3 linked regions of the Struthio camelus genome follow. The protein of the gene in region 2 interacts with the protein of the main gene of each other region in a pairwise test. Links are inferred from orthologs where the notes say so. Each region holds a gene or a part of one and is shown on either strand. Other genes may lie near its edges.

Region 1 (10,781 bases), on a different chromosome or scaffold from region 2:
ACGTATTTGGGTGCATGCTGTATTTTTTTCTGCTGCAAGTAGTCTTATTTTCAAGTGTAGATATTCCTACAGTATTTTTCCTGTGAAGAATTTGGTACTGTGTCAACATAGCTCCGTTCAGCCCAAATGTGTCAGAGCACTTATTTTCATCAGGTCCTGAAACTTCATTAGTCAATCACTTAATGTCAAATTTTAATCTTTCACCATGGCTTCATTATCTCAATTTTGAATTTAAAAACTATTTATTAATCTGCTTAAGATAGAAACTACCCAGTGATAATAGATTATACTCATGTAGATGACAGTCTGAAAACCTGTATGATATATTTATACCTTAGAAGAATCTTCAATGGCTTTGTGTAAATTTCTCAGTTTAAGGTGGCAAGCAGCACGATTCAGATACAGCACTGGAAGCTTATTGTTTAGCCGGACTGCAAGGTTATATGCATTTACAGCTGCAAGATAATCTCCTGTTGCAAACATTTTGCTAAGTGTATAACAAAAAGTAAAACATTCATTTTAAACAAAGTGCAACATCACCAAATGAATATTTACTTATTGTTAACAATTCATTTTTTAATTTAAAATTTAAGCCGCTTTTCACTGAAAAAAATGGTCATTTATAACCTTTTCAACATAGCTGAAGTTCAGTTAAACTTAATGCTGATAATATAACACATAGATATCCAACTTGGCAAAAAAAAAAAAAAAAGATACTGCTTGAAAGCAACGAAGAATACTAAAAGTAGGACACAGGACTGGTTTTTAAAGCTGTGTGTGTCTGATTATGATTATCTAATCTAACCTTTTTGTGTAACACAGCTATATACACATAGCAATATTTGTATCAAATTCCTGAAGTTTGTTTTAAACAGATGTTTAATCTCTCAATAACAAAAAATATAAGTGAAAGGAAATCTGCCTAGGTGTAATCTTCAACTAATTAACTAATTAACTGTCTCAGTATTAAAACGTGCATTGTGTGCTTATAATGAATTTGTCCATCATGAGTTTCACCAACTGGATCTCATGACTTTATCAACCTAAAACCCCCCATACTATCAATAACATCTACCCTAGGTAGACATTCACCATCTGTGTCTAGGATAATTAGAAAATCTCATAACTAAACAACAGCCACACACTATGTAACAAATAAATTTGATTTTAAATGCATCTTCAAATGGAGTGTAACTCACTTTCCTTTGTCCTTTAACCAATCTGGATTCTTTTCCTCTTCCTTTAAATCTTCCAGCTCAGATAAATCAGCATTTATTGTTCTTCGAGCTTCTGCTTGTTTATGTAGCCACTGTAAGTATACAAAATGAATGTATTACTTCTGCACAAAAATTCAAATCCAAAAAAGTATTCTCCTTTCATCTATTCATTCACTCCTACTAAAATAATTCTCTTTACCACATATTTTTGGGCAGAGGTATGAAAAGCTCCAGATTTCACCAAATATTTTATTGCTATGTGTAAAGCAACATTACTGCACTGCCAATACATTTTTGTTTGCTTGCTTGTTTTAGAACTTCCAAAAGTGACTGTTCGTGTTCATCTAGTAGAGTTCAGAAGAATTAGTTGTGAAGTATTTTTTAAAAAGGCAGAACTTAAAGAATCTTAAAGACAAGAGTAAAAAAACTTCAAAACTTGTACCTAATGGAATTCAACTAATATTGCAATTAAAAAAAATAAAAACATAAGAATATGCTACTTATTATTCTGACAATCAAATGCTTGGTAAAAAATAGTTTAGATGTAAAAGCATTTATTTAGATAGTAATTTAATTAAGACTACCTTCCTTGGAAGATGGAAATATTGCAAAACTTCCACCTTGGATGATAGTGAAAGCACCACACTAAAACAGAGAGCGATCATTACCTCTTCCTCTTCTGCTACCCGAGATTCACGTAGAGCTGTAGGAAAAACCCGCGATGTAAAGTTGATTTTAATTGTACCAGCAGATCGAGGCGCTGGTAACTGTTCTTCCTTTAAATTATCTGAAAACATACTATCGGAACCAGGACCTGCAAATAGAATTAGAGTACCAGAAATGAAAAATAAAGTGAAAGATTTTTTTTCCATTTTTCTATCAAATCCCAAAGCGTACCTAATTTAGCATTCTGCACACTGGAAATAAACCTCAAGCTATTACTTGAGAATAAGTTTGGACTTCTTTTGAAGGAAATTCTCTGAAAAGGTTTGTTCTTACTGTATTATGGAACCTATTTACTGGCTATGTTATCTGCCGCAAGTGAACTAAAACGCCTGTGACGTCAACATCTCTGGCACTTGTATGATTCCTTGGTGGGCCAAATTCAATGGCTAAAACTAACCTTACCAAAACAAAAACACAAACAAAAAAAATTAAGAATTTTCTGTTAGTTTAGCTTCCTGAACCAACTCTCTGTGTACCAAGATAAGGACTAAAGAGAGCAAAAGGAGATTTCTCTATATGGCAACAAGTAGATAGCTTAGCAGTAACATGAACACCACCTTCAGAGAGACCTTTAGAAAGGCTTTCTGCTTTACTCTCCTAAAGCTTAGAGCAAAATGTGCCTTTGTGTTTCCAATGACTTAAAAAGGAGCTAAGCACTCGCATGCTTTAGCTCAATAAAGAGACAGAAAATAAAGATACGAAAATAACCGCAAACTAAAAGAATTTGTTCAGTATGGTATATAGAGACAAAGATAAATGATGAACTAGAAACATCCAGGAATAAAATTATATCATGCTTTGAAGAATGACAAAATAGACTCCAACAATACAACCTTTAGTAGGTTTGACTCTGGTCTTAGAACTTCTGTCATTAGGAATCCTAGGTTTGTTTATTTTGTCCTTTTTCCTTTCCCGTAATTGTTCTACTGCTTGATGCAGTTCCTCTTCTCCTTGTATCCTCTTTTGTCTCTCAATATCTTTTTGCTGATTTTTCCATAACTCCAATTCCCTAGTGACCTTTTGCCGCTCCTGTTCTTTCAGATCTTCAACTCTTTTTCTTTCTGCTGCTTCTAGCTGTTTGTAGGATAAAACTGAGATATGTAACATCTGATAACTGAATAAAATATACCATTAACTGAATAAAATATACCATTATTTCCCAGTTTCATATGCCAAGCCCAACACTATCATTAATGCAATGATATAAGCAGAGTTATGAAAGATGCTGCAAAATGAATGGGAAAGTAAAGATTTTCAGTTAGCTATGTTTTAACTCTTTTACCACCACTACTAGAGAGATGATCTAGAAACATTCAGAAATAAAGTTCTACTTGTATTCTAAAGAATGATAAAATAAACTCCATCAATAAAACCTTTAGTAAGTTTTTCCTGTCACTTTAGAAGTTCCTTCATTTCAGTTCAACACACAAAGTATGCTGTTCACATAGCTCCTTTATTCTGCGGGAAATACATTTTTTACTTCCTTGCCTAGGTTTCCTACTTTATCAAACTTGATACTAAAGATGAACTTTTTTTTTTTTTGCAATACAGATGAATATCAAACATCTGCCAAATTAGTTGGCAACTGCTTACATTTACATGTCTAGTAGAGGTCCTTGTAAGCTTACCTTCATTGTGGCCTCCAAAGCGTATTTTTTGTGTTCCTGTTTTGTAACTTTTTTTGCTTCTGCCTCCTCTTTTGCCTTTTCATGGGCTTTTAGAATGGCATTCTCTCTTAGATATTGCAGTTTCTCCTTGTTAGCTGGGAACAACAGCAGCAAACAAACTAGTAATTTAGGCCTGAAGTTCTACTGTCATGTACCATGTTCATAAAGAAGTCTAAGTTACTTCATCTGATAAAGGGCAACAAAACATGGTTCAAACTCCACAAAGCAGTCTCTATCAAGCCCACCTCTGAAAGAAAAAAAACCAGGATTTACTTAAACCCAAAACACACCCACCAGAACCAGAAGATGTTTTGCATTCAGTTGTTTTCCTCTACTTTATAATTTTAACAATGAACAACAGAGTTTAACTTTGCAGAGATTCAGCAGCAGAAATTTCAGAGTTTGTTATGGCTTTCAAGGTTACAGCAGAGAACTTCCCCCCCACCATGGGTTTTTCTAGCCATTTAGAAATCTTTTCAGCACTTCAGCAGAAGAGCACAACAATGACCCCACAAAGTTAGATTTTGAGGGTGAATGTGTGAATGTGAAACTGGTAAGACTACAAATATCACCTGAAAATTTTCTGGAAATGATGGCTGGCAACTCAGAATAAATGGAGTATGACGCAAGATCCCCAACTAACATCGTGCTTTTCAGTGACAGACTAGAGTTCATGAACTTTCTCAGATTTACTAATACAACACATGCAAAGCCAGCTGTGTAGGTAAAGGCGGTACTTCTTTATACAAAATAGCACAATTAGAAAAGCAGCGAATTTCCAAACTTTTCAGAAAAAGAATTTTGACATCGTTTTGGTTCTTCATACATAATTTACTTTTCCACAATAGAGAACTTACCATTTTCGATCATTAGTGAATCCCACATAGCCATTTCTTTTTTGTACAAAGTGAAGAAAATGATTCCATTTCCAATCTTTGCTGTGCTATTTGTGTCATCAATAGGAGCATATAAAACAGCTTCAAATAAAAAGGGTGGGATGCTTACCTATAAAAATAACAAATGTGTACTACTATTTAAAGTTATTACATCTCGAGTAGACATTCAAAACATCCAGTACAAGCATGCAGTAAACCTCAAGAAACAAACGCTACTATCAAAAACGTTATTTGGTTAGTATGAGGTATGGAAGTTACGTATTTTATTACGCCAAGTAAGAGATGGAAGTTGCTCCTCAGAACTGAAATAGGAGCAATGGACTTCACATTTTGAGTTCTCAGTCATAGTTTAATCAGATGTGGATAACTCAGACCAGTGATGAGAGAAAAAGCAGCTGGTAGCTGCTAAGTAGAGTATTTGTGAGGAGAAGACTGGTGATAAAGTGACTATCTCCAGCGTGATAGGTATTTAGCAGCCCGCAGCAGACAAAGGGAGGAGACGATGCCAGAGATCATGAAACTGGCGGCGCTGACATGGCATGTCGAGCGTGTGCTCGTTCGCAGAGCTCTACCCTACCGCCGAGGCACAGCCCCACGGACGCAGCGCGGCCTCCCCGCGGAGGGAAGGGCCGCGGCCCCCCACCTTCAGGTACTGGTCGGTGCAGAAGATGTTGGCCGGGGTGGCCCGCACGCCCCGCAGCGGCAGCGAGAGGTACACGGCCGAGTCGGTCTGCCGCCAGCTGTAGTCCCGCAGCCACACCGGCATGGCGGCGGCGGTTGCCAGGGGCGCTCCGCCGGCGTTGCTAGGGGAGGAGGGAGCGCTTCCGCTGCTCTCCGCGAGCACTTCCGGGCTCCGCAGCGCCGCGCCGGTGACAGCGCCGCCGGGTGCCCCGGCCTCGCCCAATAGGGCCGCAGGAGAGCGCGGGCGCGGTGCAGGCCGGGAGTTGTGGTCCGCCGGGGCGGGCGGGGCCGCGGCGCCGGGTAGCGAGGCCCGCGGGGCCCCGCGGTTCCCCGGCCGCTGCTGCCCGAGAAGCAGCACCAGAAGAGGCGGTGGGAGGAAGCGGGGGCAGCGAAACGCGCGCAGGGGAGGGGAGGGCCGCGCGGTCACGCCCGCTGCAGCGGCGGGGGCGGCCCGGCGGACCCCGCGGCGCGGCCCGTGCCGCCCCCCCGGCCCCGAGGGAGCGCCTGAGACGGCAGCCGTGAGGCGTTCTTCGCTTCTGAAGTCCTGGAGCCGCTTTAAGACGATAAAAACCATCCATGGGGCTCAAAATAGCAGTGATGATGCGAAGGAAGTTGTAAGTTTATATAAGCAAGACTAGTTGACAAAATCCTGCTATAGATACCGGTCCATTTACTTACCGAAGACATGAAGCAAGGCGCACTGCTCTGGTTTCCATCACTCCCACCTAGAGCGGAGTAGGAAGGAACGCAACTCTTGTTATCCAAGGACATTTCCATAAGAAGACAGACTGCTATAAGTTTGAGAATTTATAGTAAAAACTGTTAAAAGCTGAGTACCGATTCAGCGATACATTGAAACTTCCAGATGATCTCTAAAAAATAACGTTATCCTTGCAACTCCATGCCACTGCCTTACATAGTTTTATCTGTTTGACTGTCTTTATCACAAACGCAGGAGGTAATTGGAACAGTGTTGCTCAACCTTCCTCAAACAAACAATAACAATACATCTGCCAAAATAAAGTCTAGGGTATAGAAGCAAGCATTTCTGGGAAATGTCGGTCGAAAGGCAAGCCAAACACTTTCGGATAAATATTCAGGTATGCTTAAGTTCCTCAAAAGTATACCATTACTTGGAACCCTTTGACAAGAATCCAGAAGAACCAAAAAGTCTCGTTTTCCCCTTATTTTTTTTTCTAATGTGGCCAAGAGAGATTAACATTGCACAAATCAGAAGTCTTAGCTGATGTATCATTTAAGATTTATATTATAACATGAAGAGTTCAGGTTTTAATAGCTATATTCCAAAGCAATGTTCAAGTGGTAGTGGTTACTAAGAGCTAACTACTGCTGTTCATTGCTGCAGTATATAGAGTTCTCACAGAGGTTCGAAACTTTCAGAGCAAGAAATGCATCCTATTTGATATGATCTCTTGATTATTCTCTACCCTCATTCACCAAGATCAGTATCATCAATTGCTTGCATGGACTGGAATTTCAGATCTGAATTAAATTCCTCATTCTGAGAGCATTCAAAGGCATAAGGGGAAAAAAAAGATTTAACTGAAAGGCAAAGTGCCTTATTTATTTATTTATTTTTTTTAACTTGCATGATACAGAACTTCTGACTAATGGCAGATCTGCACCACTGAGTAGGAGTCTTCCCTGTGTTCTTTTTATTTTAATACCTCTTGGTTGTTGTATTGAGAGGCAACGAACTCAACACAAGTTGAAGTAAGGATGAAACAATGAATTTCTAAACATCCTTTCTTTGCCATTCAGGATTTTACAGACCTCAGGCTTCCCTCTAGGAGATGGCTTTTTTCTAGAAAGAGTCTTAGCTTACTTGGTGATTTCTTTTACATACCTTTATCTTCCTTGCCAACCTCTGAGTCTTTCCAGTTCTACTAAATATTAAGATTGGAGAGGCTAAAACTGCACACAATAGTTAAAATCCTACTTTCCTTCTTCCTGGATGAAGCAATGGAAGAGGGTTTTTTTTTTTGCTTGTTTTTAAATCAGGGTGTTAAATAGCGGCATTGGCTACAATGATTATAATGTAACAGTAACTCAAAATCCCCTACCAGTCCAAATGTAGCTGTATTCATCCAGAATGTATCCTTCAGTTTTGGAGAGTTCATTCACAGACAATAAGAAGTCTTAGATCTTTTGAATGCTGTCTTCTCCTAGATCTCCGATGCAGAAGTTATTTATTTCACTCGTAGAAGACTTACAGTAAACGTCACTAACAAATTTCTAAGTTATTGTAGCAGATTTAGCCGATTTCCCACATAGAGGAATGGGACTGAGCAAGGTCTTCGATCAACTTTGCAAATCAGATATTGACACACACCTGCAGAAACATCACCTACTTCATATGCATTCCACATTGCTAGCTTACTTGGAAAAGTGACTGAGCTCTTGCTATGACACTTTGGCAAAACAAACCATATGAGAATTACCATACCAGAATAGAGGTCCATTCAGGATCTTTCTTCCGTTGGCACTAACTCAGCAGGCAAAAGTGCAAGAAACAAGGAGATCAAATACCCGTTCAAAAACTTTATTCTTAAATTGCTGTCTCCTGTGCTCTGAAGGATGGAGATTTATATCCCTGTCAAATCTTATTTTACTAATACTCCTCTGGACCTTCTGGTTGTCAGTATATATCATCCATCTCTTTTAGGGGTTAGCTCATTTCTAATGGCTTCAGAGGCTTTAATATATAGAAAAAAAATCCTTGTAGTTTACATTTTCTTATCTTTAATTTAATAAATGACCTTTTTCCATCCTTTCTAAATTCTCCCCCCTTTCTCTCATCCATCCATATTTTTAGAAAGAGCAGGAATATATTCTAAGATGCTTTTTATTCCAGTGAACATTGTTATGAGTGTGTGGCTTTAGCCCATATGAGTTGCTTTTAAAGATTATCTTTAAAGTACCGATTCACTATGTGTTAGTTGTGACATTTCAAACAGAGACAGCTTAGTATGAGTTTTGTAAATTAGAATAAATAATAATTATTTGCGTAATCTGTTTCCAAATGCAGACACTTCTGCAATCTGTGCAGCCAAACAATACCTGAACCCTTCTTATCCCCTAAGAAAGAAATGGGGCCCAGGGTGCGAGACCTCTTCTAATCTGCTTTAAAGTCAGCTCTAAATTAATGCCACTACAGAACAGCAGACGTCTCCAAGAGAGTTAGGAGCTATCTTTTCTGACCAATATGGCCTCAAACTGTTTCTTGCCCTGGATTACGCCTAATCCAAATGCATCCTCACAGGCAAAACATTAGAAAAGTTAATCTATACATTACATTATCTTCATGAAATCAACAGGCAATTTCCCCACAAGAGTTAGCTTTATTTTAAAAGAAACTGAAACCAGAAAACAGAAAGCAACAAAGTTACATACAGTGCTGGACAAAATCTGCCATATACGTTTTCCAAGAATGCTTGATTTAGATCCTGATATATCTTCTTCTAAAAGGGTCAAATATCACATTGTTATTTATAAAAAAAATTTAAGTGTCAACAATCTTAATCAGCTCATATTTTGTACTGTTTGGATGGCAGTCGATTGGTAACTTGCCTTTTTCAACTAGTCTTTAACACTGAAAGGAGAATTCAAACAAAAGATAACCAAGTAAGAAGGCCCTAAAGAATACAGTGTCTGTTCTAAAGGCCATATAAAAAAGCTTGGTGGAGAGACTGGCTATAAAGTAAAAATTCCTCAACAACTACATATTATTTCACATTTCAGAAAAAAAAAAAATCGTGAAAAGCCAAGAAATTAGAGAATGAATATAAAAAAAAGCTCACCCTCCCTAAATTATATGAAAGTTCAGATTGAGCCCATTCTTTGTTAAACATCTAGGTAACAGCAGATGAGATTAGTGTCTAGGAATAGACGCAACATCTCTTGTGACTCCAGTCACCAAACTATCTCCAATACAGCAATTTCTGAAGTACAGTGCATAACCTCTGAGGGAAAAAAATAAGGCTGAATCAGAAATTATTTTTGAGAGAGACAGTTTGTTTAAACACAAAAAGGAAAACCATCATGTATGTTAAACAATAACAAAATAGGTATTCCCTATGACCTTGGTATAAGCTGTTTCTGAACCAATAAACTAAGGGCCACACTGAATACTCTTTAAGCTAAAAGCAGCACCTCAAAGGGGCTGAACACCATTCACGATTAGTTAACTCAAAACTGATGCCACGCAGCACTAGGGCACTAAGGGACCCTTTATTTCCACGTAAAGGATGGAAGTTATAGGAGTTCCATACACAAAGAAGTGAATGTGCATAACGACGTAGCGTAGGATAGTTATATTGCCTTAAGAGCTCTGCTAAGTACACTTAATTTTCCAATTTGAAGGAAAAGTCTATTCTAATATAGAAAGCTTCAGACAAAACTTAGCAATTGCAGAGTAATTTTAAAAATACATCCAGTTCTACATCCTCCTGCATATATCTAATCACATCCAATAGCTAAAAAACTACATGTTTTTAACAACAAGATGGAGTATTAGAATAGGATTTTCACAACCATACACATACTACCAAATGTTCACCCATTTGTCAGAGGATAACATTAAAGAATTCATAAAGCGTTATGGCAACAAGATGACAATGCACATAAATGCTGCGTGTTCTGAAAGGTATTCAGTTTTAATTATCATGAATTGCTACCATCTATCATACCTCATTCTATGCAAGATACCAGGCCAGCTACCAATCCATAAACAATAATGTTTCATATACTTCATAGAGTAGCTTAAAACACATCATGATATGAAATAATTTGTATTACATAGTAATTTAATCCCTGGCCACAGGGCTAATGTTGGACAAAGTCTGGAAACTTTTTTCCAATTTGAATTACATACGTTAACTTTGCCACACACCACAGCACTAATGCATGTATTACTTCAGACATGCTCTAATTTAAAATTAAAACAAAAAGCTGTTGCAAAAATACATGTCACCAATGTGGAACACATTCAAGATTGTATAAAAAGTACTGAACTGATATCCCAAAACAGGTATATTTAAGCAGTACATAAGGAAAGATTAGTTTTAATATGAAACAGTCATTTAAGTCACATACAACATGATAAGAAGCATGACTTCCTTTTTAAAAAATGTTACACCAAAACTTTTACGGGCAGGCAATGTTTATATATAAAATGAAAAGGATATATTTTATGCAGATGTGTATTGTCTGTATTAAGTTGGAAGAAAGAAAAATGTTGAAGAGGTGCTACATTTGAACACCACTGATCTTGCAAAAATCTCAAACCACAAAAAGCATTTTACCTAAGAATATCTAAAAAAGTCATGGGCCCAGAACTGCAAACACTTTGAAAAGTTCTTGGCTTTGTGCATGCACTTCTACTGACTTCATTAAGAAGTCTCCCATGCTTGAAGTTAAGCCTGAAAGTGTGTTTACAAAATTAGTGCTTAGTCAAAAACAAAACAAAACAACCACCCAGAGGTGACAAAGTATGTTCCTGTTTGTACAACCCAAAACATAATAACAAAATTATATTTTTGTTTTAAATAGAGCAAACTTTTATCATATTACCT
Region 2 (11,095 bases):
CTGAGCACAACACCCATATTCCAGTCCTTCAACTTGGTGTAAAGTTAGCTGTAAACTTGGGTCTAAGAATTGTGCCCAGTGTCTTAGAGGATAGATAAGAAGTCCTCCCTACAAATAGCTAAACGAAATAGGTTTATTAAAATGAATAAAACATTTAGGTTTTTCAGAAAATAGTTAAATTAAAATCAAAATATAATTGACTCTCTTCTTATTCCAAGAGTATAAAAAAAGCACCTCAGTTTTGTCCGTCAGTTCACGACGTGTTTGATCCAACTGATTTTGAACTTCACTTTGAGATTCCAATAAATGCAAGCCATACTGTGCTGCCTTTCTCCGTTCATTCTCTGCTTCCTTGAGTTGTTGTCGAAGACTTAAAATGGTCTCCGTCTCCATTTCTCTTGCTTTTATTGCCTCCAGACTGCACACACAAGTTGGTTAACAAAAACGTACTGCAATAAATTACAGCAGTTAATCTGAAAGAAAATTTGGATTTTATTTGTTAATCAGGACACAACAGTATATTTTTGTATCAGTATGAGATGAAAAATAAATAGCTTACAAACAACTAGTCTTATGAATAGAGAAACACTAGCTATTTCTCTCTAAACTTAGTTAATGTCTTACTCCTCATTGTATCTTAAGTGACAGTACGCAGCGAAACAGCTCAGCAGGATGTTCCTGGAAGAAATACAACTCTTGGATGATTGCTCAAGGAATAGCTGCTAGGTACAAATGCAGCTACATCCTACAATGCCAAAGTCAAACTGCTTACAGAAAATCATAAGCCATCATAAGCTCATAACAAACTTCGGAAAAATGCATTTTGAACATTTCATGCCATTACTCCCACCCCAGCTACAAATAACAAGCTAATCTCTATTCCAACCCATTTTGTATCATCAGTGATATGACAATTCAAACTTTCTGCCTGATCTCCTTTAAGGACAGCCCAGTGGAGAAGGAGGGGAGGGAGGGGGGGAAAAAAAAAAAAAAGGATACACATACACACACTGGACTAGGCACTAGGCAGAAGGCTTGTTTTTAATCAACTTCAAATGCAATTGAAGGGACAAAACGTAGTCCTAGGCTGAGAAGTTAAGCCCATGGGAAACCAAAACCTTCACTACTTTCCATTGAACAGTACTAGTGATGACTTTTAGAGGTAATTGAAGAAGCTCCTAGTTAAAGCTATTTAGAATAATAAGATGATGAGATATCTTACATACAGCAAAAACAAAGGTGATGCACATACAAAATACTCTGCAGAATAAGTCCGTATCAAAACCAAAGTAGCTCTAAGCTAGAACAATTCAAGTGGGGCCCCTTAGCTTCACAACGATTTATTTGTTCAAACTCCCAGTCTTTTTTCGAGAGGCTGCTGTGTTACACAATTCAAAAGCATCAAAAACAAAACAGAAAACTACAAGGAACATGACAGAAATACAATTCTGGTATACCTTGCCCAGTTTCACCGCATACAGAACTTGTTCATTAGAAACACAGAGTTTATCTAATATCTAGCCATCTTACCATATATAATGAAAGAGAAGGCAATAAGCTAGGAAACAACCTCCTAAAAACACCATTAGGCAAGTGATAAGGCATATGGTTTTTAGTGTTATCATAAGTAGCACAGAGCATAGAGTTATCCCAAACTCTCAAACATAGTTGGATAGACTACAAATTGGTCAGTTCTCAATTAATCTTCCACCATAATACACAAAACAAGAATAGAATAAACCTGGACTAACTAGAGCTTTAATTGTGTACATAAGTAACACTTAATAAGATTCATATAGGCAGCTGTATTAGCAGAATACTTTACTCCTAATAACATTATGTGGGACATACAAACATATAGAGGAGGTGGAAGAAATGAATTAAGAATAGATTTAATATTAAAATTACTTTTTTTTTTAATAAAAAAATGGGCCATCTCCTTTATCTCTGCCCCTCCCCCCACTTTTTTAAAGCACGCATAATACTTGTGTCTTTCATCACTGTTTTCAACTTCAAAGTTAGATCACTTCAGCTAACATATCTGTTTGCCATACCTTCTCTTTGCCATGTGTTTCAGAAAACTCATCCACTTCTATCTCTGTATCATAACATAAGACATGAATAAAGGTTGCTTTTGCAGGAGGAGATCAAAATAAACCCAAAAAAGCAAAATAGGGAAAAAAACCCAAATAATAACCACATAAACCTAAAAGGAGTAAGATTAACAACATGGTTTTGCATGACGGCCAACTCCCAAACCTAACACCTAGTAAACCTGCACACTGAAGATAAATCCTATTAAGACAGAAATTGCCAAGTGACTCAGGCTCTGCACAACATAAGCTAAGAATTTTCTCTCAGAAATTATACAGTAACAACAATATACGATTACAAAAAAATTTTTGCAGTTGATTTTTCAAAGCCAAGGTTCATAATTTTTTTAATCACTTAGTCCTCACAATCAAGTTCATTCTTCACTGAAGATCTTACTCACTGTTTTTTGTTTTTACCTACGCAATTTAATCACTACCATTTCTTACCGGCACATATATTATCCTTGCAAATGTTAAAAAGATGCTTGTCTTAATCTGCACCAAATTTCACAGTATTAATGAGTCATCACCATACTGAAATGTATGTGTTAAAGTATTAACTTTAACATTTTGTTTGCTAACTTTTAATGCAATAAAGGTATTTCTACTGGAGTTTCACAACTTCCTGTTTAAACAAAAATTTATCATTTTGTCATACAAGAGGACATCATGCCAAAAATCATGCTACTTCCTTTCACAGTGAAAAGACAGAAATTGTCGTATTCTATTTTTCAAATTTTCAAGCCTTTGTTGTTGTTGTTTAACTTATGCAGACTTTATCTGGCCAGGCTCTGAAACTTCAATTATTCATATTCATCTACTGCTGTTTGAAACACTAGCTTCGCACATTTACCAAAAAAATTTTTTTTGAAAGTCAGTAATTTGGCATACCTATAACATCTAAGTAGTGTCAACAATATATACTAGCACAAGGACACCTACACTAAACACTGTATAGAATTTAATAGTGCAATGCTTGAGGGATAAGATTTGTAATGTTACAACCATAAGAAAGCAAGAGCTTGTGGTGTGAATTTGTGTAGACAAAGGAGATTAATTAATCCGTATTCATTTCAGAAAGAGAATTTTAAAAACTGTTTATTTTCTGATAAAACAGTAACACATTAAGATTTCAGATACAGTAATTTGATTGCTCCTAGCTTACAAAATTAACTCTGAATGATATTTTTAACTCACCTTCGGAAGTCCTTTTAATTCTTTCTTGAGTTTATTCTTCTATTTTTCTAAAAAAAGCAACAGTTGTCTAGCTTGGATGAGTATAAACTGCAGTTACAGCAAATTTCTTCATAACAGTCCTTTTCTGAAACAGCTTGATGCCCGTGGCTGTCCCATGAAAATGCAGATCACTAGTTAAAACCCCATAGAAATGCAAATCTTATTCAAATCTCATTTGAGGTAGCTGTCAGACAGTTGAGAAACAGCCAGATTAGGCAACACTGGCAAGGGATAGATGCTCTGCGGTTTACTTGTAGAGCAGGGAAACTGGCTACACCCAGGGTCATCTACTTCCAGCACATATTTCATTTTTAAAGGTAGTTTGGGAATTTCACCTTTCTCTCTCCTTCTCCTTCAATCTCTTTTGCATTCTCCCTCCACCTTTGCATACAAGATCTTTGTATCTTAATAAATCATTTACTGGTTACTATCTAAAAGATTTTAGGTTTTGGTTTTAATTTTATAGCCAAAGTATGGAGGAAAAAGATAAATAGATTTCCTACTATAAGAAAGTATACATACTATGCAAGGAGGCACCTACTTCACATGTCTTGCCAAGTATTTGGAAAAAAAATAAATATGGCTTTTCAGACACTGTAGGAGCACAGAAGATCCTCAACTCTGTTATCATCTGTTTCGGATAAGTGTAATCAGAGAGCTCCAATAAGCTGTGTTCACCAGCCCATAAGATTACACAGGGAAGTCACTGCTTGCAATTTCCTACCACGCAAGAAGTAAATTATTCAAGAATTCTGTTTTAAGATAAATTAACTAGCTAATAATCCCAAGATTCAAAACAGAATTAATCAGTTTTCATACTCTGCTGCTTAAACAGAGTTCTAGCTTTTCTGTCTCCGGGAAAAAGTCATGTTTCAGTATCCATAGCAAAGACCAAAACTACTTTTTCTAAGTTTGCATTCCATGCTCCCTCTAGTCAATTCACAACTGCCAGCACAGGGAACTGTTTCCAACCCTGGGGTACTGGGGGGGATGACAAAAACCAGTCTCCTTATATCTATTAAGAATTACACATTACTCACTTCTGGCTAGATATCCCCAAACATTTTATGACAGATCCTGTACTGAAGGCTCTAGACTTTGATTACTCAACCGTTTAAGTACTCCTTGATAAAAATAACAGGGGAGAGGATGAAAAGGCACTCTCCTGGCATGCAAGCCTTCCTCTCCCCTCCCAGACTCTTCTAGTTACACTACTAATCCCAGGGACCGTGTGTAACACCTGTCCTTGTCCTGAAGACAACTGCATCACCAATCGCTTCAGAAGTACTTACGCAGTTTTTCCGACCGCTACCATGAATAGCGACATAATTTCTCTCCCCAGGGCAGGTACTCCCCTTGTAATTCATTTCAGTTACTTAAACAAGTCCACTTCTTCACCTGCCGAACTGAGATACTCAACAACTGAGATAACTTGGGGGGCTTCTCAGCTTCCCCAGAACATAGTCTTGGGTGGGCGAGCATTCAAAAGAAATCGGACCCCAATCTGAGCTTTCAGTCTCTACCAAGTACCTCGCCAGCCGACAACCGGCTCTGCCAGGGCTTCGCCTAGCCAGCAAACAAGCGGGGCGAGCCCGCCGAGGGGAGGGACCTGACGAAAACCGCGAGGCCCCCGGCCCAGCCCCCCAAGACACGGGCCTGACAGGACGGACGGAAGGACGCAGGGCAAGAGGGGCTCCGCGGCCCCACCACGCAGAGGGCCCGGCCCGGCCCACGCAGCGCTGCCGCTCCCGAGCCAGGAAAGCGGCCGCCGGAGCCCGCTTCCCCGGACAAGGGGCAGTAAGGAAAGAGCAAAAAGCTCCGCGTGAAGGAAAACCGGCTCGCGCCGCGCCTCCCCTGCCCCGACGACCGCCGCCGCCGCGCAGCGCTACCTCAGCCCAACGGCCGCGCGGCCGCCAACACCCCGCGCCGGCCCCGCCGCCGCCGTTCAAAACCGCCCCGGCGGCGCCGCCCAAGCCTCGCGAGACCGGCCGCCATCCTCCTGCCCCTCCCCCCCACCACCCCGGGACGCCGCCGAGCGCGCGTGCGCGGCGCCGCCTGCGCGCCGCCCGGAACCGCGCGTGCTGCGGGGCGGGGGGAGGGGTAGCGGCCGCGGGCTGAGGCGGTGCGGCGCGGCTGAGGCGGTGCGGCGCGGCTGAGGCGGTGCGGCGCGGAAGCGCCTTCTCTGGCGGCGGTCGTGCCGTGCCCCCGCCCGGCTCGTTACAGCACACAGCCGCTCCGTTGAGCTTGCTTACAGGCCCAGCGTGGCCACCCGTGGAGGAAACCTTCTGGCCTAGGTGCTAGGGCGACGCCAGGGCAGCAGGGTGTTTGTGCGGGCGCCGTGGGGCGCGCTCTGAAAAGGAGGGGAAGTCCCCAAAGTCAGAAGCGCTGCTGCGGTTCCCCGGCTGTACGCAGCAGGTGTGTGGCAGCCTGGAGGTGTGATGGAGCCCCAAGCTCTGGAGCTGCAGGTGGTCCCACCTCGCTCAAGGAAGGAGTGCAGAGTAAGTGGTCAGATTAGAAGTCAACCAAGTGCTTGGTGCCATCTAGGAGACCTGCCAAGTTCAAGGGTAAACTGCGTCTCCCATGAAGTGTTTTACAGAGGAATTACTGGTCTGACACTAGAATGCCCTAAGTGCCACCTCTGTCCCGCAGACCGTTTTCCTCATTAAGGAAATACCGTCCTTCAGTGGGGACTGCCGAGGATGCCTAGCCTTGGGGAAGCAGCGCAACCATCACGTTCAACCAAGCCTTTCTTTAGAGGAAACACAGCCGTGCCCATAGCTAGCCCTTCAAATTTCTGAGAGTTATGCACCAAATTGTAGCATTTGTAGCATAGCTGTCAACTACACTTCTAACCTGTTCTTTCTCCCTAGGTTGCTCTAGTTTCCACTCATCTTCATTTTCTACACCTGATTGTAGATGGTCTGCCCTACTTGCTTTGTATGCTTTTCCTGGGGCATTCATGTTCAGGTTATTGCTGAACATCTTCCAGTGACTACGATCTTGCACTTCTACATGTGATTGCTGATGGCATTCAAATTTGAGTTAAAGGAGTTGCCAGTACTGTCACGTACACCCTGCTACTAGAAATTGGATGAAAGTAACATTTAAATAGTTAACTTTCTGTGTCTCCCAAAAAGTCAGACAGGTAGAAATATTTTAAAGCAAACTCTGACTTTAAAGAAACATGCCTCCAGTGTTGCAAGGTTGAATTCAAGCAACAGGATATAAGGGAATGCAGAGGTAACAATCCTATTTGGAGCAACCAGGACAAAAATAGATAAGTCTTAAGATAAAAGGTGCTTGGAAAATAAGGACATGGTATCAAGTTCTACAGAGAATGCCAGCAAAATAGCTGGAACCACATATTAGTATATATAATTCTACTATTTTATCAAAATGTGTGGGTCTAGCTTTTCTCAATAGAAATAGGTTTAAAAAATAAATATAGAATGGTCTAGACAGGCAAGAATGACAAGTTGATTGAAACAGGGGCAGGAAACAAGAGAATCCGTTTCTAATCCTGATTCAGCTGCATTCACTATGTGACTAGCCACTCCAAATACCCCCAGCTCACCCCTCCCTTGCTTTAAAACAAGGATAACAGTGACTTAATTAACAAATCCATATAATTCTCCTTACAGTTAGTGTGGGTACAGCTTGGAAAATATAAAGCACCTTGTAAAAGCTAAGTATTAACATGATTACTGTACCAGATCAGTTATCCACTGTGGCATACTAAATCACAGAACTGTTAAAACAGCAGCTGCCTTTTTCCCTCTTCATTTATTTTAGGAAAAAAATAATCCACCGTCATGGATAGCAGCTGATGTTTAAGACCAGAAATACATAAGAAAACTTCATTATACATTCCTTTCCTTAGAATTGTCATTTATGCCTTTAGAACAGACTTAGGTGCTTAGTTACAAATCAACTGATTCATTATTTAGAGGCTGCTGTTATTGTCAGAGCTTGTTCCCTTTTCCTTACTGAATTGGCAGTAGCTAGGATAGTGTTTTACAGTTCACTTCTACTAAATTGTGAATAGATAAACACATGCATCAGTTGCTACTAAGTTATTTGTAATTTAGATTTGCCAAGTGGAGTGACCATCTTGTCAGAATTCTACAAAATAATTCACTGATGTGACAAACTAAACATTTAATACTTAAATAAAACCAATATTTACAGTTTGCCTATACAGCAGAGTTCTTTTTTTCAGTTTATAGGAAGCTAGATTTTACTTTAGGTCCTTTTAGAAGAACATACAATGACATGGTCATTAAGTCTGTCAGTGGTAGTATATTTTGGCTTTATGGAGTCAAATGCTTTTGTCCCATTCTCAGCTAGGAAAAAACTCTCAGTTCTGCTGTTTCATGTCAGGTTAGATTTTGTTTCATCACTGTGGCTTGCCTGTGTAACTACATATTGGCTCATAGAAACTTTTCTCCAGCATATGACCTCAGTAGTGCTTATGTTTTCCTATGGAGGTTCTAGAAGCCCGTTTCTTACTCTAATTCATAAATGTTTCCTAAGCATGTAGTTTGTATGCTTTTATTTATTGACATTTTAGGTAGCTAAATGTAATTAAATCTATGCACTTCTCACTTCTGACCTTGTATAAAATGTAAGTGCATATCTTTTAAGCCTTATCTATGCTAGCAGACAAACGTTTCTTTCGTTTCAAAAACGTTTCAAAAGTAATGGAGTGATTACAGAAAGTAGATGGGTTTATTCTGAAGAGGAGGCTTGTTTGCCTTTATGTACATAAAGGCAAATTATATTTTAAAAAGTCTGTCTTAGACTTTACCTGGTAATTGCTCAGTGAATTTTGACAGTGTACTGACAAGTATTTTGCTGACTATAGTGCTGTAGGAAGCGAGCAAATGACTAGCAGCAGCCTATTGCGAAGCAGCTGATTACTAGCTGCTTAAGTCATTTTGGCACAACAAATCCAGGGTTTGATATAATGAAAACTTGCTATGGCATTAGGTTTGCCCTGCAGTATTTAAGAGCACTTAGTTTTGCACAGTTTGAAGCCATGTTTCTCTATTTGTTACCGCAACCTCGTAGAAGCCCAGACTTAATCCCGTCAACATTTTTAAATTGGCATATCATTAAACTGTTCTATTTTTTGAGATGAGGCACTTTCTCCTTCAAATAAATAGAATTCATAAGTCTATATGTTTTAGTTTATTACTGTGAATCCCAAGAGCACTAATCCCTGCCTTGTAAAGAACTCAAGTAGCTCAATGATTACAGCAACAGATGGAGAGCAAGTAGCACACTGTTTTTAATCCTCACTAAACTGTTAGCGACTGACCTCATCCAAATCACATGATCCCACTATTTCAGTCATCCTTGCTTAACAAAGAGGTGTTTTGAGTTTTTCTTATTAATCTAATGCTACTTATCCCCTTTGTAAACCAGTATGAATTTCTTTTGCCAGCTAGGGATTTGAAAGCCAGCATAGTTTTGCTGTTTGTCATATGACTTACTCCCTCCACTTTAACTGCTGACAAGCAGCATGTTTGCCAAGCATCCTTCATAGTCCATCCTTACCTTACTCCCTAAATCATAAACCTGGGATCCATAACCTTTGCCAGCTCCTTAACCACAGTAGCAAAATAAGAAGCGAAGGAAATTAAATTAAGCTGTGTCATAGAAACTGACTATAGCAAGGAAATGATACCTTTAATAAGAGCACATGATAGTACTATTTGTCATACAGTTTATAGAAATGTATGCAGTTTCCACTGCTTATTAGCTCTACATAATGCTATGTCACTAATATAGAAGCACAAATTAAGCAGTGGCATGCTCATCTGCACGCTCCAACTTCAAAAATTTCTTGTGTATGCAGTATTAAATGCTTAGTTCTGGTATCTGATTTTAACACAGCATTTTCTGTTGCTCCTGCAGCTGCTTAATAATCTACAAAAGCCAGCATTCGTAGCTAAAATCTCTGATTATTGAACAGTAACAAATATATAGAGAAGTCAAAAGTTTTATGACTTAAAGAAATTGCGATTTGAATTTCCGAGGTTAAAGCTTAAAAAGTAGGTTCTTGTCTTCTACTATTCACTAACTGAAATGGACCAGAAAATTTGGCATGGAGTTTTAGTAATGCAATCAGCAGTTATTTTACTCTAGTAGGATAAGCACCCAAATTCCACTTAGGCTGTAATCGCCGTGCGATACAACAGGTCTTTTAATGAACTGTGAATGCTAAATAGTTTGCCAGCACTTCTGTGCAACATTTTGTTCTAGAGCCATTTTATTAATATTTCCATGGAGATTATTTATTCCATGTGTTTACATACAGTGACAATGCAGTATTAACAGTAGGTAATTACAGTATTGCTGCAGAGCAATAATATTCAAGGAATAAATCTCTCCCTTGGTATGTACTTACTACCAGCTTTCCAGTTCAACAAGTCCATTTCCTTCAATTGAGGAGTAAGACTAGTGTCTTCATGTTTAACATGACTTGTCTGCAGAAAGTGTATGCACAGCAGTGATGCAGGATTAACACCGTGCTGGGTTACAGCTGTGCTGGGTTACTCAATTGCTGGAACACTGTCACAGGGCATATACAGAGTTTTACAGGCCTGACAATACAGCAGCACATGAAATAGGCCTCTGATCCATTTACCAAGAATGGCATTTCCCCAGAAGAGTCTGCTTCCTCAAGTGTGGTCGCCTACAGATCTTTAAATGGGACTTGGTACAGTTTGAGAGCAACCCATGAGATAGGAAAACACGATGGTTCAGTATGGAGTAATATTAGACTCTTAAATTTAGAACATCATCGTTCCCATCTTTTAATCTTAATCGTGGTTATCATTCACTTCTTGCTGCTTTCAAAATTCCCAAATTGGGCTATATTTACTCACGTTATACACTTTTCACAGAAAACTGAAGTGGCCACTGTGACAGAAGAAGGAACATAGGGGTTAGTCACATGTGCTGAGTTAACCCTGTCAATACAAATGGGGCCTAGAGACCCAGTCCAAGTATAACTGTGATATATGATAACAGGTTTAAATGTTCAAGTGGATATAATCCTACAGATCAAAATAAAGAATATGAACAAGCTCCATAATGGTGAAAAAAAGGGAAAACAAAATCATGAAGAGTGTTGAAGTGAACGCTAAGTTTTTAGAAATACCTACTTTTTTTTAAGGATATAAACATGAGTTGCAAAAAGTACTTTTGAAAAAAATACACTTGAAGAACAGTAGGATTAGAACCTGTAGTAGGATTATCTGGGAGATTAAGTAATAAAAGGCAAAGGGAGATCAGATTTCCAATCTGCTTCCTGTGTAAGATGCTGAACCAGTTTTAACAAAATGGGGGAAAAAAAGGTATTCAGTTTCTTTTTGTGCATTCTGGTAGTAGTTACCAATGGTTTGAGTCTTTCTGGAGTACTGGGTCTGTTATTCTTTTGTTCCTTTAGTAGTTTCCCCTTTCCTTCTAATTCTGTTTAAAATAAAATTTGCAAATATATGCCTCATTCTGCGCACTTACATTTTCTATTTCTAGTTTTGTTGTACTACTTTCCTACTAGGTGCAGTCTGTTCTGCTTAAATTCTGTTAGCTTTTTGTACACATCAATCAAGAAGGACATGGTTTGCTAGCCACCTTCTAACTGGTTCCCACTTGGGGCTTGAAAAGCATTGGGAAGGAAGGAGGTAATAGTTCAGCTGGGTCATTTGACTATTTCATTGAAGGACCTGAGTAGCTGAAGCAAAGCAGAAGGCCAGAAA
Region 3 (10,959 bases), on a different chromosome or scaffold from region 2:
TATGCTTACTCCAAATTTACCTAAATTGTTATTACTCGGCACAGTAATATTTCTAGTGGCTATTTCTCCCCATCTCTAGCTATTAGTCAAGGTGACAGGAAGTGTTGAAACAGCAGATCTTGTTAGAACACTAATATTATTAAAACAGAAGTTAATAATTCTGCAAGTTAACCTTATGACCAATTCATCACACAATGTGATGAGCGCTGGAGGCATTCTACTCCAGATGCATATCCTCATTTACCTGCACTAAAGCACACCTCAGCAAGTAAGCTTTTTGGTTGAAATATAAAGCAATGAAATGCTGAGCTAAAATAACTTCTTTTTTGAAATACCAGGAATTCAGGCTATGACTGTAAACCTTGTGCGTTTAACAGGTCTTATGCAATGCAGCATCACTCTTACCTCCATGGGAAAGGCTTTAAAATTAACTGTGTGTTCAGAACCACGCTGGTTTTCTCTCCCCCAGTGAAATCGAACATCATGTAGTTCAAATTCATGTCCTCGAGGTAACGGCCCGCCTATTAACACTGGAAAAGAACACAAACAGTAACACACTTAGCTTTCCAAGCAGACAAGCCACTGAATATATTTTTTCAAATACACTGGGGAGATTGTTGCAAGGTTCTTTACTAGGGACTGTATTAGAGAGGACAAAAGCGGACAGCCTTGATACCTTAACTTTTGGCATCCAAATTCATGCAGTTATACACAACTGTGAAAATACTGTTATGGTGTTTTCTTAGCTTTATGAGGCAGAACAGCTGGTCATAACACAAAATAGAAGCATTGTAAAGGTGTAAAGGTACACTGATAAAGATCAGTTAGGGCAGTGAATAAGTTCAAAACTCTTACCAAGAGAGTAGCTCTGTGTTCTAAACAGATGGTGAAGAGGTTCTGAGTCAAACTGATAACTACCACCAACTTGTCCAAATGCTTAATCTCTATCACCTGTATTTGCCGTGAGTCATGGAAACTGATAGAAACTTTTGGTTGCCAATATTTTGCTAGGTAAAGATGTTCAGCCATATACCACCTGTCAGGTTTCTGAGATACAGAATGCCTTCATATGCAGATACAACTGATCCTGCCATGCAGTAGCAACAACATACCTTACTTACAATCAGCTCTAGGCTGCCATGCTGTTTTTAAACACTGAAAATGTCTTAGCAGCATCTGTCCACAATTGCAAGACAAAGAAACCAACCTATATAGTAACTCAACTCCTTTGCATTAATATAGCCTTTCACCATAAAAATAAGCAGTGAAAACAAGCAATCGTACCTATATGAGTCCCAATATACTTATGAATTAATTAACAGAAGCATTCTGTCCAGGAATTTGTTAATCTGCTTCAGACCAAATAATACCAAATACAGTTGGCAAGCTGTAGGTAACTTCTTGCTGAAATCACTGAGTACTGGGTTTCTACCCAAAGCTAGATTTTTAAGGGCATTCTCGTCTTCCTTGGAATCCATTAAATTCTAGTTTCCATATCATAGACTTTGAATGGACCTCTTACAATACCTAATAACGGATAAGAATTATTTAATTGCACAATGTATAGCTTTAAGCAATGACAGTTCCATAATATAAAATGTCATTTAATGTCATTTAATACACATACTCTATATATGTATATGTATATATATAGTTAGTTGGGAGCACAAGTCATAGAGTAATACTACTAAGTACAATTCAGCAATTGAATCATATTGCAACTGTACAAACACAAAAATGAGAATAGAGAGCTATAAAAAAACTGGAAGAAAACTGTCAATTGGTCTTTTCACCATCAATTACTCTGCAGAAAAGAAGTGAAATACCCAGACTAATCCTCCCTTAACGACATGCCATAACCAACAACCAACAGGGTTTCTAAAATGAATCATCCTAAAGGTAGTTACAGATTCAAATTTGCACGTTAAACCTTTTTTATCTTTGCTCGCTCTACCTATACCTATATCCTATAATGAAAACTCGTAAATCTGATGAACATGAGGGAAACCATTCAGCTAAAGTATTTTTGGGAAACGTGGAAGAATGTAGGGAAATAGGATGTTTTATTAATGCTGTTTTTTTAGGAAAACAGACTGTTTTCTCCAATTTAAATTATTGTTCCTAGTGCATATGCCTGCCTGTATGTAACTAGAACAAATGTTCTCTGTGTGATGTAGTTCGGGACCTGCACGAGCTTCCAAGAGTTTCTTTCTGAGGCTCATATTACAACACAGATCCCAGGATAAAAGTATTTCAATGTAGGAAGAACGTTTATCTTTGTTCTGCTGTTCATCAAATTTTGATCTTTGTCAGTGGATGAAGTGTTTAACGTTTCTTTGCCTTTCAGTAATTTTCGAACCTTATTAGAAAATGATTCTGAAACCATTTTGTGCAATCCACCGCTGGCTTAAGAGAAGTCTCTGTATCCTCTGAAAGGTTTTTCAATATACAGTTCCAGTACACACTTGGTCACACTTCTTCCAGCTAATGCCTAACATATGTATGATGCTCAAACGGGAAGCAGCCTGTAAAAAGGTTTACAATTAAATAACAAGCAGGATTTGGGAATTCCAGATGGACTGTGTATTCTGAAAATCAATCATCACTAACGACAAACTGATTTTTAGTATGTATCTTAATCATTTTATTTTTTTCTACCAGGAGGTTTTTCTTTGGCTGTTAAAATTACAGTAGAAGGCAATCTCTTACACATTAATTGGATAGAGTTTCAAAAGCACTTAGTGCTCGGCAGTTCCCATTAAAATAACCTGGCTTAAACGGACCTGTCATCAGAGATCCCCTGTGAGGAAGAGAAGCTGCATGAGTTTCCGCAGTCACTGAAAATTAGCCAGGATACTAGGTCAAACATAGCTTTTCTCTTCTAGGAAGGGATAACAAATGTTGTCCCAACCTCCCAAAAAAGGAAAAATTATCCCCAGTCAACAAATGGAGAATAGGAAATTATGTAATACGAAATCCAAGGACAGCTGAAACTACACTGAGATTTCCTAAATCCTAGTGCCATACCTCAATCATAAACTTGTATTCTATTTCACATTGTTTCTTATATGTCAACACTCACCAGTCTGGCATCACTGTATTCAAGTTTAAAAAGAAGTACTTTCCTTCCTCTAAACCTCCAAAGCTTTTGCACACGCATATAGGTGTGTTGGTTTATTCCTATTTTTATACTATTGCTATTAAGGTGCAAACCTCCCTTGGAAAAGGTAGGGTGGAATGATTAGCACTTTGGCATGCAAGCAATTATGTTTGCAGTCAGTCTTACTTCCTCTGCAAGAGAATTCAAGAACCTTTCAGATCTTGCAGAGAAAACCTTGTTCCCTGGGAACAGAGCTCTGCTTCCGAGAAAGGTAGTAAAACCGACTGGAAGTACGAAATTACTATTCCATTGGAAATCTGCAAAATTCTGTGGAAAGAATGTTCTGTTTTGCAATACAATACAGAGTCTAGCATGAAAGGGAAGTATAAGGGAAAACAATTATTAAAGTAACTGAAACCTTTCTGTTTCAAAAAATTCTGTGTAAAACTGAACCGACTTCCTTGCTCCCAAGACTCCTGGGATCTCAGAAGGAAACAAAAGTTGGAATGGCTTTGGCAATGCTTAGCTGTTTAATTGCCCCATAAAGGCTGTTACTAGCTAACATAGGTTAGAATGACTTAAAAACCCTTCCAAACACAGGGGAAGAAGTACCACAGTGTTTGGAAAACACAAAGGATCTCCTTACTTTCCTGACAGTTATCTCCTTCATATAAAATAGGTTATCTAGATTAAAGGTCTGAGTCAAGAGATCCTGCAATTTCATTTGAGTTGGAACTGTTTCTTTTATTGGCTTTCAGTTCGTCTTTGATGAATGCTATTGAAAAACTCTTTAAGAAGCGAGGACCAATTTGCAACCTGTTCTTTATCAACACTGTAAGTGTCCATAACTGGAGTATCTGTCCTAAACAAACTGTTGAAGTCTACAGTTAGCAATCACAGCCCACTCAACTGCATGGAGAACTTCCATGCTCTTTGGAGCAAGGACAAAACTTGCCAGCTCTACAAAGTAATGCGGCGTCCCGCGATCCGAGTGACAAGCTGGACCGTTTCCGAATGTGGACAACTGTTAATGCCAGCGAACTAGATGACACCACCACAAAAGAAAACGCTGCAGCTCCTCCAAAGCAACCTGACGGGCCGTCAGCGCGGAGGTGAGACCTCCAGCCCCTGTGGCAAAGCTTAGCCCTCTTCCGACGGCCGACAGCAGCAGCAGCCCTCCTGCAGGCCACAGCAACGCCGGACGGGCCCAACAGCCGGCTGCTGGCAGCAGCTAGCGGTGCTGCGCTCGGTTACGCGCCTACAGCGGGCCTTTAAGACGACGATACGAGCTTCGGCCTTCGTTCTGACTTTACTGGCAACGCCTAAGCGGTGTTTCGCCCTACCTGACTTCGACTTCAGGACGATCTGGATGGAGTGCCCGTCGTTGATCACCTCGCAGTCGCGACACACCACGTAGTTGGGCGACAGCCGCACCTCCAGCAGCGAGGGGTCGTACCTGGCTTCCCTCGAGTTCAGGTTAATAGGCGACTGGTACTCCCCGTTGGCCTCCGGGAATATCAACCCCCACTCGACCCCTAGAGCCAAACCAAGAGCCGTGAGGCGCAGACCGGCGCCCCCGCGCAGCGCAGCCGCGCAGCCGGCCGGGCCCCGCGCCCCGGGCCGCCGCAGGGCAGGGCAGGGCCGGGCCGGCTCCGCGCTGCTCTGCCGGCGGCCGCGGTCCGCCGCCCGCTGCCGGCCGGCCTCCGGCCGCTCCTCTCGGCGGTTTCGGCGCGGCCGCGCAAGCGGTTTCCCCCCCCCGCCTCGCGTGTGCGGTCCCGCTGCCCGCCACCCCCTCACCTTCCTCGTAGCCCCACTCCGGGGCGTCCTCCCGGCGCCGGCAGGGCTCGGCGCCCTCGACGAGGCTGCCGTCAGCCATGGGCGGGCGGGCGCGGGGCGGCCGCCGCCGTCGGGCCGGCGTGTGCGACCGAGTGCCTGTGCGAGGGGGCGAGGCTGCCGGGCGCCGCCGGGCAGCCCGGCCCGGCGCTGCCTCCGCCTCTGCCTCCGCCTCCGCCCCCGCGGCGGCGGCGCGGGGGGCGCGGGCGGGGCGGCGGCATCGGGGGCGCGCAACAGCCGCGGGCGGCGGCCGCCGCTGCGCCGCCCCCCCCCCCCCCCGCTGCCCCTCTTTGCAGCCCTGGCAGCCGGGAGGCAGCTCGGCCCCTTGCTGTTCCCCCCCCCCCCCCAGGAGGGTGGGAGCCCCCCGATGCCCGCCGGTCGGGACCCCTTGGCTCAGGCGGCTGCCGGGTGTGTTGCTCCGGCCCCTCCGTTTCGAGGAGGTCGGGGGGCTCTGCCGGCCCCTCGGCCGGCAGCAGGGCAGGGAGCTGGAGGAGGTTTGCTCCGTTCACGGGGAGGAAGGGCAGTAAGCGGCCTCCGCGATAGGACTCTTCCCCCGGGCAGTGACCCGAGGGGAATGGGGGCCCTGTGGTCCCCAAGAGCAACCCGGAAAGGCAGCCGGAGCTGCGACCGTGGTGAGTGGGAGCGCCCTTTCCTCGTCGCCCTTGGCCGCTTCGAGGTACGGGCGAAACCACGCTGCCTTCCAGCGTGCTGAGGGGATAAAATAATGTCCTGATCCTGGGCTGTTCCTCCGCAAGCTTTGAGCTGGCTATGGGCCTTGTCGCGCTGCCGTGTTCCCCAGCGCGGCAGCCGTGGTCCCTGCGCAGGGCCGGAAAGAGGGTGCGAACGAACATCCGTGTCCAACTGAGATGGACAGAGAGGAAGGATTAAGCTGGACATTCATTATGGAAGCAAGAGAGCACTGATTCATGAGCCATGCGCAAGGTGGGAAGAAAATAGGACAAAAGTAGTAGAAATTATTGGGGGATTTCTTTTCCTTTTTAAGATTAGAACAGAAACACAGGTTTCTTTCTGCAGGATCATTAGTTACTGTCTTCAGCACTGATGGTCAAAAGGAGTATATGCTACCCAAACGAACGATAACTGTGGTACAGTTCATTGCAGCAAAGGAGCAACTTAGCTGGTGAGCAAGGATCACACTCCAAACTGACCTTCTTCCTCATAGTTAATCCTTTACATCAGTACAACTGGAACACTCAGATTTTCTGACATGTATTTTTGGCACATAAGAATATCATGTTGTACATACGTAACTGTCTCCCATACCAAACTGATTTTGTCAGTTAGTCAGTTTTATCCCAAAACCATTTCTTAAATGCACTCTAGTTATTTCTATTAGTCTCAGTCCCTTTGAATCATTGCTCAGCCACATGGGAAAAAAGAAACGTTCCCCCTAAATCACGTTTGATTCTGGTCGATCTGGCGGTAAATTCATTTTCCCCTCCCAAGCATAATCCCATGTTTTGGAAAAAAAACAGTCTTAAGAAGCTGGGTTCATTCCATTGCTCCCTGAAGCACAGTACTTCATTCATGCCCTCTGCTAAGTCCTTTCCTGCGGTAGCTTTCCTGTGGGATGTCTGTGCCACATTTTCACACTTACAAACGGCAACATAATCAGACCCGTGATTTCCTGTTTTATAATACATACTTAACACTACTTTTCATGGCTTCCATTCACAACTGTAATTAAGAAATAAGCTACTTATATTCTACTTATGTTTGTTGCCCTTCCTTTTAACCTTTCCATTCTTTCTGCACCTTTCTGCAAAATCAGGCACAGCAGGTAAAGCTTTAATGAATAGTTGGCATTTCTTTGTTCCCTTATGTCTGCTCATTTGTTTTCTGTGAAAATATCCTATCTTTTCCATAGTTGCTCTCAGGCATAGCTTGAGCTAATCAGCAAATTAAATTCTGCTGAAGATTCTTAAAATGTATTTGATGCTAAAGTGTGTATGGAGCTGAGAAGTGAAGGGCATCTCTCTGCCATGAAACTGAGCAAGGGACAGAGATCTCTCAGTTAGCTCCACCCACAAACGCAGATGTTGACCTAAACAGTCTCTGCTCAAACCAACTCCTTTATTCATGCTCCCACCTTTATAGTGTTGAATCTCAGAATCAGGTGGAGATACTGGTATGATCTAAGCCTTGCTCAAAATCCGTGGGATTTGGTCTCATTTAAGGATGTAGACACTCTTAAAGCGTTGCACTCTTTGTTAGTCCGTTTCTGTACTGACATAAGCTGAAAGTGCCCTGTGCGGTGCCTTTGGTGTAAAACGCAGTCATCTGGAAAAGAGCATTATTCTAGTGTTGAGTTCTGTTAACAGTTGTCTCAAGTCATCCACTTCCTCCTTTGGAGTTCTTCCCTCTTTAAGTACTTAGTTTCTTTTCTTAAGCTGACCTTACAGCGATCTTAGAAACTCTATTATTGGCAGACATCTAAAACTTAAAATTTGCTTTTGTGCAGAAGCTACAAGTGGTTGATTTACTCTAAAAGCATATTAAATATATAACAAGAACGCAATAGAGATGAATACGCTCTTTATTCTGTGAAAATCCTTTGCTTGTGGTGTTCTTGCCCAGAGTAATGTTTGCTACATTGGCTCAGCATATCAAGAGAGGTAAATCCATAGGAGGGCGCAGATGCGGCCCTAGAGCTAATATCAAATTGATGGACAAATGGTAGGAGAAGCACAGCCAAGGCGGCCTTCATAAATCACACGGCACATCACCAGCAGAGTCGGGAGCAGCAGGCAAGTCTGTCCTGAATCCAAGTCCAGCCTTTGATTCTGTGGAACATGCTGGCTTCTTGCTTAACTGAGATTAACGATCTGACCATTCGTTGATACCGGGAAAAAAAGCTTGATGCGCAGATCCAGGGTTTAACAGTTCCTCTTAGAGCTCAAAGGACAGATCGGTTCAGAGGGGCCTGAGTCTCCTCGTTTCCTGTAATCCAAAACTCACTTTTGCAAAGCGAGAAACTGCATTTTTAAACATTTTCGGTATAATACTTAGCCCTGATAAGACTGCAAAGAACTATTCTTGTATTTACTTTATCTAGATGTAGGTATTATGTGTTATACGGCTACTGATTGTTTTTTTCCTACCGTTACCGCCATGTTATTTTAGGAACAGCACAAAAAGACAATATACCTTCCCTGAGCACCTTAAATTGTAGACACTGGGAGAAACAAGTCTGAAACAAACTTCTCCATCCAAACACTTTGTAAGATTTGTATCCGTAAATTGTCATGAATGACTAGTTTTCTTTTTTTAAAAAAAATAAGATGTTAAATTTCAACAACTGTACTTACAGCTTTCACCACTTCCGAGGGGAGAGTCTGATGCAGAGAACTGTACGGATTACTAAGAAATCTGTATAGAAAATCAGAACAGAATTCCGTGTAGGTTTGTCTAATCTAGAGAGTTGTAGGATTCTCTGCAGGCTGCATAGCTGGCAGTTATTTCTCTGATTCAAGGAACTGAAAATTTAAATTGTGAGAAGACCTATGTCCTATGTAATTCACTTTTTTTCTTTATTACCTTGCTCCCAGTGAAGAGTACTTGGGGACATGCAAGATTTAGTTTTACAGTAAGAAGAGAAATGTTCCAGAGAATATTAGAGTATTCCATTTGAGAACCATTTAGGAATTCAGAGGGCGTTTATGCTTCTGTAATCTTACCAAGGTATACTTGAAGGAAAAAGTTGTGTCCACACAGAAACAGAAGGCACGAAAGGGATCAGGAGCATCTTTTTCAGTGAATGGGCTTTCCTATTTTGCTTCCTGTATTTCGCTATGAGGTTGGCCAGCAATCATCTGTCCCATGATCTTGTTTCTGTATTTTTTTCGTGCTGGATTGCTCTTTCAGTCAAGTTTGATTCTTTTACAAATTTAGAAGTGTAAGACGAAATTTTCTGTATTTATCTATTAAAGTATAGGCTTATATATAATAAAACTGAAAATCTCTCTGCATGTTTTAAAAGGAGCTAGTTCATTACAAGGAAAGGCTCCAAAGAGCAGTGTGTTTCTGGAATAATATCATTTGCCAATCATTTTTTTCTTCAGCTGAAGCAATGTACAAAAAGGAAAAGGATGGTCAAGTGGTATAAATACTGCAAGATGACAGGGTAAAGAGAAAACATTTTCAATAAAGAGACCATTTATAATAAGGAGAAAACATTTACAGTGAAAGACTCCATCTGTTTGCAAATCAGGTTTACGTTGGCACATCCTGTCCTGCAAACATTGCAAGATATGTCAGCTGGATTCCCATTTCCCTATAAATCCGCACCAAAGCGTGGTTTCAGTGCCCTCATATGTTTTATGGTCTGTAAATTTAGATTTGTGCTTCTTGCGTTTACCGGCTAATAGGACAGAAGTCTGGATCTGCACATGGATCTTCACATGTTTAACCTTACAGCAAATACAGTTTCTTCAAAATTAAAATCTACACATAGACCTAAAAGTACACAAGTGTTTCTACAATAAAGGTATTAAACTTTTGTGTGTAAAATTGCGTCTGTAAGAGTGCACAAGAGATGAAAGAAAAATGCATTAATATTTCCAAATTAACGGCCGTAATTGGTATATATTCTCCCAGTATTCGGATTTGTAAAACATTATGACTGCCCGTGAGAATTCACACATACATCCAGAAGACAGTAAATCTAAGACGGGATAATTTTCAGTCCTTTAAAAAAACCCAGAATCGGAAACTACTTCTCAAGACTAAAAAGGAAACATAGACAAAAGGCAAGTGAGAAGTGATAAATAATACAATGTAATTAAGGAGAATACTAAAAAAATTAGAGAATAATCTAGTGTTGTCTGCTGGAGCTTATCTTTTCCCAGCAGGTCTCAATTTGTAGAAAAAATCTGTAAAGAATTGTAAGAAGTGGAGAAGACAATAGGAATTGCTGATGAAGTGAAATAACTACAAATGTAAAGTGGAAATCTGCAGACAATAGATGAGTAGAAAGGAAGTGAGTTCTTTCCCCTAGCAGGCTAAGAGGAAAAGATAGATAAAGGATGAAACAGGATCTCTGTGAAACACAGAGTGAGAAATAATAAAGGGTCCTGATATGGCAAAGCTCCTATATAAATACTTCTTTATTCCTTTAGGAAGGAAGCAGAAATAAAGGGACACCCAGACCCAAATTCAAGGAAGAAATTGGGGCGTGCAGAGGGAAAATCTACATTAAGGAGATGATGAAAATTTATTTACCTAACTGTAATCATTTCATGTCTTTAATATCAGATAAGATGTTAAAGACTCGCCATGATTACAGTTAGGTAAACACATTTTTGTTTATTTTTAACAAAGAAGGACTGAATAAGAGATCAGGGAAAGACAAGGTACTGTTCAAAGCAAAAGGAGGGACTGAGCTAAAGAGTGCGCCTGAGTGGCTTTTCCCTTGAGGAGCCAGAGCAGGTATTGGCTTAAAGGTGTTGGCTTTTCATCTTTGAAGCACATGAAAAAGAGGAAGCGCTGAACAGTAAATGGCAGGGGAATAACAGCGCATTTGGTTCTGTAAAGGGATGGCAAAAGGAGAGTCAGTTCTTCATTTGTTCTACTGACTTTTGCTTATCAATATGTAAACATCTATAAATGACAAAGTGCTCACGTGTCCAGTCCCAGTAACGCTCATAAATCATACGTTTAGGGTGTAATCTGGCCTCCTATATATCACAAGCTATTATGTTTCACACAGTTACTTGTATATTAAGTCAATTATTTGGCTATAAATAAATAATAACCCGTGTTTCACTAAAGTCCGTTTTCCCAAAATGTGTGCAACCTTGATCTGAAGACAGCAAGAAACGAAGAGTTCAATACTTTCCTTCGACAGTTTGTTCCAGTGGTTAATCGCCTTCACTGTTAACTAATGGGGATCCAGTTCTGGTTTGAATTTCTCTGGCTTCAACTTCGAGCCATTGGTTCATGTTATGCCAGTTTGCCTTGATTAAAGAATCTTTATTACTTCATATTCTCTCTCTAATATACTCGTC

The links.
Region 1: the proteins of SPDL1 (region 2) and DNAAF4 interact in binary tests that used the Homo sapiens proteins (3 or more experiments, as listed by UniProt). The two-hybrid records come from large-scale screens. The link is inferred for Struthio camelus from reciprocal best matches to the Homo sapiens genes SPDL1 and DNAAF4.
Region 3: the proteins of SPDL1 (region 2) and CA8 interact in binary tests that used the Homo sapiens proteins (3 or more experiments, as listed by UniProt). The two-hybrid records come from large-scale screens. The link is inferred for Struthio camelus from reciprocal best matches to the Homo sapiens genes SPDL1 and CA8.

Annotation. Positions count from the first base shown.
Region 1 is NC_090953.1:16,152,995-16,163,775, forward strand, and holds the start of DNAAF4 (dynein axonemal assembly factor 4), read right to left. Parts: upstream 5,307-10,781; 5' UTR 5,273-5,306; coding exon 5,150-5,272; intron 4,616-5,149; coding exon 4,468-4,615; intron 3,706-4,467; coding exon 3,572-3,705; intron 3,018-3,571; coding exon 2,777-3,017; intron 2,032-2,776; coding exon 1,886-2,031; intron 1,310-1,885; coding exon 1,200-1,309; intron 488-1,199; coding exon 334-487; intron 1-333.
Region 2 is NC_090954.1:18,865,073-18,876,167, reverse strand, and holds the start of SPDL1 (protein Spindly), read right to left. Parts: upstream 5,347-11,095; 5' UTR 5,219-5,346; exon of another isoform or gene 4,622-5,218; intron 3,514-4,621; exon of another isoform or gene 3,438-3,513; 5' UTR 3,291-3,437; intron 2,099-3,290; 5' UTR 2,055-2,098; intron 474-2,054; 5' UTR 394-473; coding exon 235-393; intron 1-234. UniProt on the Homo sapiens protein: Required for the localization of dynein and dynactin to the mitotic kintochore.
Region 3 is NC_090943.1:135,085,746-135,096,704, reverse strand, and holds the start of CA8 (carbonic anhydrase-related protein), read right to left. Parts: upstream 5,110-10,959; 5' UTR 4,977-5,109; coding exon 4,898-4,976; intron 4,636-4,897; coding exon 4,444-4,635; intron 531-4,443; coding exon 406-530; intron 1-405. UniProt on the Homo sapiens protein: Does not have a carbonic anhydrase catalytic activity.